Linked DNA regions of Cricetulus griseus. The protein of the gene in region 1 interacts with the protein of each later gene in a biochemical or structural test. Links are inferred from orthologs where the notes say so. Each region holds a gene or a part of one and is shown in the gene's direction. Other genes may lie near its edges.

Region 1 (4,139 bases):
AGGGTTGGGGGCAGGGAGCAACAATGTATCTTCAGCCTAAGTGCCTTTCAGGGGCAGCCACTAGGGTGTGGGTACCCAAGGGGCTGCTGCCTATGATTTTGCTCAGAGGCGGTCCTGGTGCTTGGGTGGAGGTGGAGAGCTCCAGCTAAGGGCTCCGGAAAGAGGAGAGGGAGAGGCAAACACTGAACTAGGGCTGCATCTCCTATCCACATGGGGAATTGTATGAACTGGCTATACCTGATCCAGGGGGACCAGGTAAGTGAGGAGCAGTGGGCTGGGGAGAAGCAGACTGTAGGTGAGCCTGGATCTCAGCTGCCATATGTGCCTGAGAATATACTTGCAGGTCAAAGTGCAGTCTCACAGTACTAGGCTCCAAAAAAGGTTCAGAACCTCCCTTTGCCAGGCCTCGGTTTCCTGATCTGTAAAATGGCCTCTTTCCTCCGGGGTTGTTCTGAGGGTAACTGTATAGGAATATGCATAAGTGATTCTCTGAGGGACTGCTGTCCCGCAGGTGAGAACTTACACAAGTGTAAAAGTAAGAGTTTATGGGGGATAGAGGATGGGAGACCTGTGGGGTTTAATATGGGACAGCTGGTCACCACCTAGAGCTCAGGAGCCAAAGTTCATCCTTAGCAGAGATCATACCAGGTCAAGAGGAAGGCAGCAAATACCCTTGCATCTCTGCCAGATAAACTCATGTTCCCGAAAAGCAGGGACTATGGGTTCAGGATGTTTAGTGAACAAACACTTCCTGGGAGGGGCAGGGGGTCACCTAGTCACTGGCATGTCTCTTTAAATTTGTATTTTGCCTGTTGCACTCTGTGTTGGGGATCTAAATTCAGAGGGCAAAGAGGGAGCGGCCAGAGCAATCCCGGTGCGGTGCGTAGAGGTGTATTCCGAGGAGGGAGAGCAGCGGCCCCTGTTCTTGCCCTCTGGTCTCTGTGTAGGGGTCCTTTCTCTAAGCTCCCTATTTCAGGAACCTCTTCAATGTAGGGAATGTAGGGTATGCAGGTGTCTATGAGTGGTTCCTGGAACAGAGGGCGAAGGTGCTTCGGAGGGTGGCCAAAATGGGATGACATAGGAGTCCCAGGGCTCGGGGTTGTGACCCTGCAATCTTCGCTCCATGGTCTGGGCTCCCAGGCAGGGGCCTAGCTAGCGGGGCTTGGGCTAGGGCGGGGGCAGCCAGGAGGGCGGGGAAGGGGCGGGCGCGGGGGCGGCGCGCTGCAGCAGGAGCAGGAGCAGGGGCCAGGGCCAGAGCCGAAGCCGGAGCCCGAGGCGACGCGAGCTGAGCGGGAGCCACAGAGGCCGCTGCCTGCTCTCCCGCCCGCGCCTCCGCCGCCTCCGCGCTCCAGCCTGCGGGGGTGTGAGCCGTGGCCAGTCGCGGCCAGCCAGGGGGCAGCGGGTGCCATGGCCGCGCAGGAGTCGCTGCGGCCCCGCCTGTGTCGCCTGGTGCGCGGCGAGCAAGGCTACGGCTTCCACCTGCATGGCGAGAAGGGCCGCCGTGGCCAGTTCATCCGGCGCGTGGAGCCAGGCTCCCCAGCCGAGGCGGCCGCGCTGCGCGCCGGGGACCGCCTGGTTGAGGTCAACGGCGTCAACGTAGAGGGCGAGACGCATCACCAGGTGGGTCCCTGCGCTGCGCCCCGCCCCCCGGCACCCTCCTGGGGGCGCGTCCCTACAGCGCTGGCCAAGATGCCAACAACCCCCACTTCTGCGTGCCACATGGTGGGACCCGGCCAGGGTCGCACAGGGGCCTGCCTGGGTTCGGTGTTGAGGTGTGGGACGTGGCCGGCCAGCTGGCCTCCTGGTGAGGAAGCTCAGTCCTGCACTAGCGGGGGAGGGAGGACATCCTGGTAGGGAGGGGCCGCACTGCGGCTACTCTGGCCAGGGCCCTGGCTGCTTCTGCTAGTTTTGGCCTCTGTGTGCCATGGAGGGGGAGGAGGTGGCTAAGGCACCTTGTGGCCTTGTGGTACAGATGCTTTTCTGTCAATGTGTGAGTGCTTGCAGGTCTCTCTGGGGTCATCCATATGAACACACTACCCAACTGTTCCAGGATGAAAGCATTCAGTGTCAGTGCTGGAATGTGTGTCTAGGGTTGGGTGGATACATCAAACATGTATGCCAGCTGTGTGTGTGTGTGTATGTGTGTGTCCGTCCATCTGTCTGTCTGCATGATTGGATATACTGGTGTACTTCTCTCATGGGCCCTTATGTCTGGGTCTGGCAGTCAGCACCATGGCAGTATACTTCCTTGGTGTCAGAAACAGCCTCCTCCTGAGAGGCTGCCTGGCCCTCCCTGTATAGGTCACTGTTCAGCTCTTGCCTTCTGTAGCCAGAGGAAGGCTGTTCTCTCCTCAGGTTTTACCTCTGGGTGTCTGTATCCTGCTGAGGGGTAGACACACCTCAGACCTTGGCTAGGGCCCAGACTTCTTCCACCATTTCTGCCTGGATCCCTGGTACCAGCATGTCCATGACCTACCTGTGTGGTTAGTCTTGGAGCCTGGAGAAGGCAGGGTGGTACTTCACTGGGCCATGAGGGAATTCCTGTCTCCCTCAGGAACCTGCTTTCTACCTACAGTGACCACTGGATTTGGTTGTGTGATGAAGAGTTTGGGATGGAGCCCAAAGGTTGGCCCACAAGGCAAGGTAGAGACCTGCAGGGTTGGTGTCATCTGCCTCTAGCAGTTACTGGAATCCACCTGTTTATCGCAGGTTTCTGGGGTGCTAGTCCCTACAGACTTTCACGCAGAGCCACATTCGATCCTTTCTCCTGCTCAGGAAGATAGGAGGTAAAACCATGACTCCTATTTTACTGACTGGCTCCGTTCCCATGCCAAAAGGTGTCAGGGTGCTGGGATCCTGTTCTATTGGTCACAGGGAGAGAGGATGGTCATGGAGGGGCCAGGTGAAGGTGGCTGTGGGTCAGACCTTCCTATCTGTGATAGGATAGCATGTACTAAGTGAAGTAATGATGGGGATTCCGTCTCTTCAGCCGCAGGCCTTGGTGCAGTTGTTAATGCTTCCTGCCCTTCAGATGTCCGGTGGGCATGTCTCCCTTTGAACTCAAACTAACATCCTGCATGATCCATGGTAGCCCACATGCTCTCCACACTTCACAGGCACCCATCCAGATACACAGATGGCTGTCAAGCCACACCTCTTACACTGTTGTATCTGCTACTGTTCGCCTTACCTGCTGGAGTGGGATCCTGCTTACCTGATATTTCTGGCACCTTAGGTAGAATCTCTAGTTCTTCACCCCTTTGCAGGTGCAGCAAGAATGGGTTTCTAGTCCTGGTCTGGAGGCAAATTGGAGTTCTAGAGATTTCTGGGTGTTAGATTCACACTGCATCTCAGAGAAAGAAATAAACCCAAATACTCACATTGGGGCCATGTAGCCCTCTCCTACACCTAGGCGGAAAGACAGACTTTAAAATAGATGCACATACAGACACACACACACACACAAAAGCACACACATACAGATAAGCATGCACACACACATGCATAGACTAGACTGAAATCCTGAAGCTCAACTCAATCGTTTCTGACTCTTCCATCTGGCTGCTCCTGGCATCTCCTTCCTGTCCTTACCTGAGCTTGGTGCAATGCCACAAGAGGATCCTGAAGTACTTGCAGCCTGGGCCCTAGCTCAGGGAGAAGAGGGAGGGAGCTACTGGAAACTGGGGGTGGGGGGTGGAGCTCGCAGGCCTCTCAGTCCAGCTGCCCACCCCTGGCAGGCCAACCCCTGCCTGCTGTCTGTGAGTCGTGCTTTGCCAAGAGTGGCGCCCTTTCGAAGTGGTGCCCTATCCATGTGTTGCCCAGCGTGTTGGCTGCTGATCTAGTCCTGCTACCCACCCATTCCAGGTGGTACAGAGGATCAAGGCTGTGGAGGGGCACACTCAGCTGCTTGTGGTGGACAAGGAGACAGATGAGGAACTCTGCCGGCGGCAACTGACCTGCACTGAGGAGATGGCCCATCGAGGGCTTCCACCAGCCCACAACCCCTGGGAGCCAAAGCACGACTGGGCATGCTCGAGCAGCCTTGGCTCTGACACTGGCCAGAAGGTATGGTGGGCTATGTCTGTGGGGATAATGAACCTTTTCCAGAACTCTTGGTAATAGTCTTCACTTTGATAACT
Region 2 (4,334 bases), on another chromosome or scaffold:
AGCTACATGAAGAAAAGACACTTAGATTGTGGTAGGTGAGAGTGTACATATTTTCTCATTTGCAGGATGAGGGTAATAATAATAGTTAATGCCTCAAATAATTGTGAGTAGTAAACTGATAATGTACATAAGAGGTTTTATAAATTGATCTTCTTAACTTATAGAAACAGAGACATTAACACAAATTTTTGTACTTATATCAGTGTTTTTCAACTTTCCTAATACTGAGACCCTTTAATACAGTTCCTCATGTTGTGATGACCCTCTAACCAAAAATTATTTCATTGTTATTTCCTAACTGTAATTTTGCTACTGATATGAATCATAATATAAATATTTTTGGAGATAGAGTTTTGACAAAGAAGTCCCGACCCACAGGTTAAGAACCACTGACTTACATAGAAAATGTTATTTTATTATTGATTGATTCACTTATCTGTGTATTTTGTGGTACTAGGGATTGAGCCTGTGGCCACATATATGCAGGTGTTTCACACTGAGATATATCCCCAGCCCCAGAAAACATTAGCTGTTAGAATAATAACTGTGGAGTGGTGAACCCCTGAAGCATGTCAGATACATCATAGACGTTTTGAAACTTTTGAACATTCTCAATCTTCAATCTTTTAAACATAGGTATCATTGTCTCAATATATAACAGAAGTTCAAAAAGGTTAAGTCGGTAACCCACAGTCTTTCCTTAGAAAGGACCTTGTCATTCATGAACTATGTAAACAAAGGCATACTTTGTCTGTACATAGTTCTTTGACTCCCAGGAATCATAGGAATACAAATGGAAATTATATTTGATTTTCACAAATTAAACCATTTTTGAGGTCTTATAAAAAACAAGACTCTGATGTGTAAATTAGGATGAACTTGATTAGAATTAAAGGGAAATGAATAGGCTTTGAGTCTGTCCCACTGTTCCAGTACTGGATCTTTGGAAATACCTCTAGAAAAAAAAAGGGTGAGATCAACTCTCAAAAACTGTTTAGTATGTAAACCAACTTAATGAATTGCTTTTTGGTTGTGCACCTTGAACCCCAGCATTTGGAGGGCAGAAGTAAGTGGATCTCTATGAGTTCAAGATGAGCCTGGTCCCCATACCAACTTCCAAGCCAACCAGGATTATTACATAGTGAGACACTGTCTCCAAAATGAAAATAAAAATAAGAAATCCATGCTTACTTACCCAAAGGAGCTGTGTCAGCTTTTTGAAGGAAAAGTGGTATCACATGGCAAAATGTGACCTAGGTCCCTTAATCCTGCCTCTTTTGATCTCAAAAGGTGGTAACATTCAGTTCGGAGCTCACTCATCTGTAAATTGCATCACATTATCTCTGAGTTATTTAAGAAGCAAGCTCTGTTTGGTTTCAGACATTTTAACCTGCTAACGGCAAGAAGAAGTGTTCACTACATAGTTTCAAAGGTCTTCCTACTTGCCACTGTCACCAGGGAAAGCAAAATGATTGAAGCCATAGGGAATCAGTACATAGTGGCCAGACCAGTGTATTCCACAAACACTTTTGGAGAGGAGTTCAAGAAGACGCACAGACACCACAAGACATTCCTGGATCATCTCAAAGGGTGTTGTAGGTAAGAGATTCTTACGGTACTGGAATGAGGAAGAAACAAGCAATTTCTCCTAAATTTTCTAGCTTTCATGCTTTTTCTTCTGGCTCGAGTCCATAGGTCCGGGAATCTGTCAGTCTTGGCTTTCCAAGCCTTTTATTCACTGCCTGAGGTGAAAAGGCAAAAAGAACACACCATCTCAGCTAGCGGCACAAACACAGTGCTTCCAAGTCAGAGACTAACAGATGGAAACAGGCAAATTCTCAATTGAAATGCTATACAGTTCTGTTTCAGCCAAAGAAAAGCTGGCATTTTCCTTTTTAAAAAGTTTCTTTGGTAGTGACCAAAGCTTTTGGCAGGGGCAAAGAGGCTATTGTTAGTGGGAGTGAAATTGCCAGTTTCATCTTTGAAATAATGTCAGCTTTGCCAATTTTCTACCTAGTTTTAGACACCAAACTTAAAGTTTGATATTAATTCACTAATCTGTACTTTCAATGTTTTCAGCTGCTCCTCACAAAGGGCCAAGAAAATCGCCCTGTCTTTGTTCCCCATAGCATCTTGGTTGCCAGCATACAAGATAAAGGAATGGCTTTTGAGTGACATCGTTTCTGGCATCAGCACGGGACTGGTGGCTGTACTACAAGGTATTTCCTCCCTTTTTTCTCTTTTACCTTTTCTTTTATATTAAAGATGTAATTAACATGTCTTATTCAATTAACATTGAATCTTATGATTCACCCTTATGCCGGACGGTAGTGGTCCACACCTTTAATGCCAGCACTCGGGAGGCAGAGGCAGGTGGATCTCTGTGAGTTTGAGACCAGCCTGGTCTACAGAGCGAGTGCCAGGACAGCCTCCAAAGCAATACAGAGAAACCCTGTCTTGAAAAACAAAAACAAAAAGATTCACCCTTATAATTCTTCTGTGTGTGTGTGTGTGTGTGTGTGTGTGTGTGTGTGTGTGTGTGTGCGCGCGCGCGCGCGCTAGAGCAAGGCTTGCATTCTACCAACATGTTAAATGCCCAGCCTCACTTTTGATATGTATAGTTCTATGGTTTTTAGCATATCCATCAGGTTGCACATCTAGCATCACTAATTCTAGCATATTTTCACCACCTTCTCTCCTCCCTACCCCTTCACACACACACCAAAGCCTTTACCTTTTGATAGACACATCACACTCTTCCCTCCACTCATCGCTTTAACACTTTCTGTATCTATGGATTTTCCTATTCTGGATATTCCGTGCAGATGGAATTGTATGTGTCTGATTCTTTTCTATTAGCATAATGCTATCCAGTTTATTCATATTGTAACAAGGACAATATTCTACTGCATGTACCACATTTCATTGAACATTTGAGTCATTTCTATTCAGAGGTGATGATGAATAAACTTTTATGAACATTTGCGTACAACTCTTCATCTAAAAATATGTTTAAATTGTCTGGATACATCCATAGGAGTATAAGTGCTGGGTCCTGTGGTAGCTCAATGTGTAATTACTTGTAGAGATGTTGTTTCATTTCCATTCTTCCCAGCAGTGCTTGTAGCTTCAGATGCTGCTCCACCTTATTGCTTGCTATCTTTTTATCTTCGCCATCACAGTGGGTGAGAAGTGGCACCTTGTGGCTTTGATTATATTTCTCTATTAGCTAATGATGTTTGGTTAAGTATCTGCTCTTTTCTTGTGCTTATTACCCTTTTGCGTGTCTTTGGAAAACTACGTTTCCAAATCCTTCATCTTTTGTTTTGTTTGTTCGGGTGGTGCTGGAGGGCCTGACACATACCAAGCAAGTACCTTATGACTGAACTAGACCCCTAGTTCTTCTTGGCTGTTTTAAAAGTGCGGGTTGCCAGGCTGGAAATGTGGCTCCATGAGTAGAGTGATTGCCCATCATGCCCAAAGCCCTCGGTTCCATTGCCAGAACAATATGACTCAGGTGTCCATGCCTGCCATCCCAGCACCCAGGAGGCAGAGGCAGGAGGCATAAACTAGATAGCATATGTGAGGCCACCATGAGCTATGGAACACTGTTGAGTTGCAAGGGTTACTTGTATATTTCTGACCTTTATCTGATATATATATATATATATTATATATATATATATATATATATATATATATGCAACAGCTGTTTTCACTCTCTGTGTTGTCATTTCACTTTCTGTTTTTAAAACTCAAGAGAGGAAGGGAGGTTGAAACATGGTCTCATGTAGCCTTGGCTGGCCTCAAACTCCTGATCCTCCTCCACCTCCCAAATGCTAAGATTACAAGCATGTGTCACCATGCCTGGCCTAAAAGATGACCCATTGTGGCCATTTCCTGTGTCTTTAATGTGATTAGGGGAGAGTGGATTAAGCCCAGGGCAAATATACTCCCATTGAGCTATAGCCCAGTTCCCTAAACATCCTTATTTTGCGGTACTGGGGAGACAAACTAAGGCCTCCTGCATGCTAGGCAAGTGCTCTATTACTGGGCTAAATCCTCTGATTAAAGCTCACTTTGCTAATAGTGTGCCTTGAGTGTGCTTTTGTTTTTCCCATGCTGTGATTAAACCCAGAGCATCCCACATGTTAGGCAGGTACTCTTCATTGACCCATGTTGCAACTGAAGCATTTTTACTTTCAAGTCTTTGATTGCTTGTGCCCTTCTGAGAGACTGTTGCTGATCCAAGATTTCTAAGATTCATACTCGTGTGTTCTTCTAACAATGTTAGTTTTACTTCTTGTATCTATATCTTTGACACATTTTGGGTT

What was found.
Region 2: the proteins of Slc9a3r2 (region 1) and Slc26a3 form a complex in vitro, tested with the Homo sapiens proteins (2 studies listed by BioGRID and IntAct, with this or other methods). The link is inferred for Cricetulus griseus from reciprocal best matches to the Homo sapiens genes NHERF2 and SLC26A3.

The regions. Positions count from the first base shown.
Region 1 is NC_048600.1:44,234,558-44,238,696, reverse strand, and holds the start of Slc9a3r2 (Na(+)/H(+) exchange regulatory cofactor NHE-RF2), read left to right. Parts: upstream 1-1,224; 5' UTR 1,225-1,407; coding exon 1,408-1,620; intron 1,621-3,864; coding exon 3,865-4,065; intron 4,066-4,139.
Region 2 is NC_048598.1:168,963,408-168,967,741, forward strand, and holds the start of Slc26a3 (chloride anion exchanger), read left to right. Parts: upstream 1-1,468; coding exon 1,469-1,599; intron 1,600-2,079; coding exon 2,080-2,219; intron 2,220-4,334. UniProt on the Homo sapiens protein: Mediates chloride-bicarbonate exchange with a chloride bicarbonate stoichiometry of 2:1 in the intestinal epithelia. Plays a role in the chloride and bicarbonate homeostasis during sperm epididymal maturation and capacitation.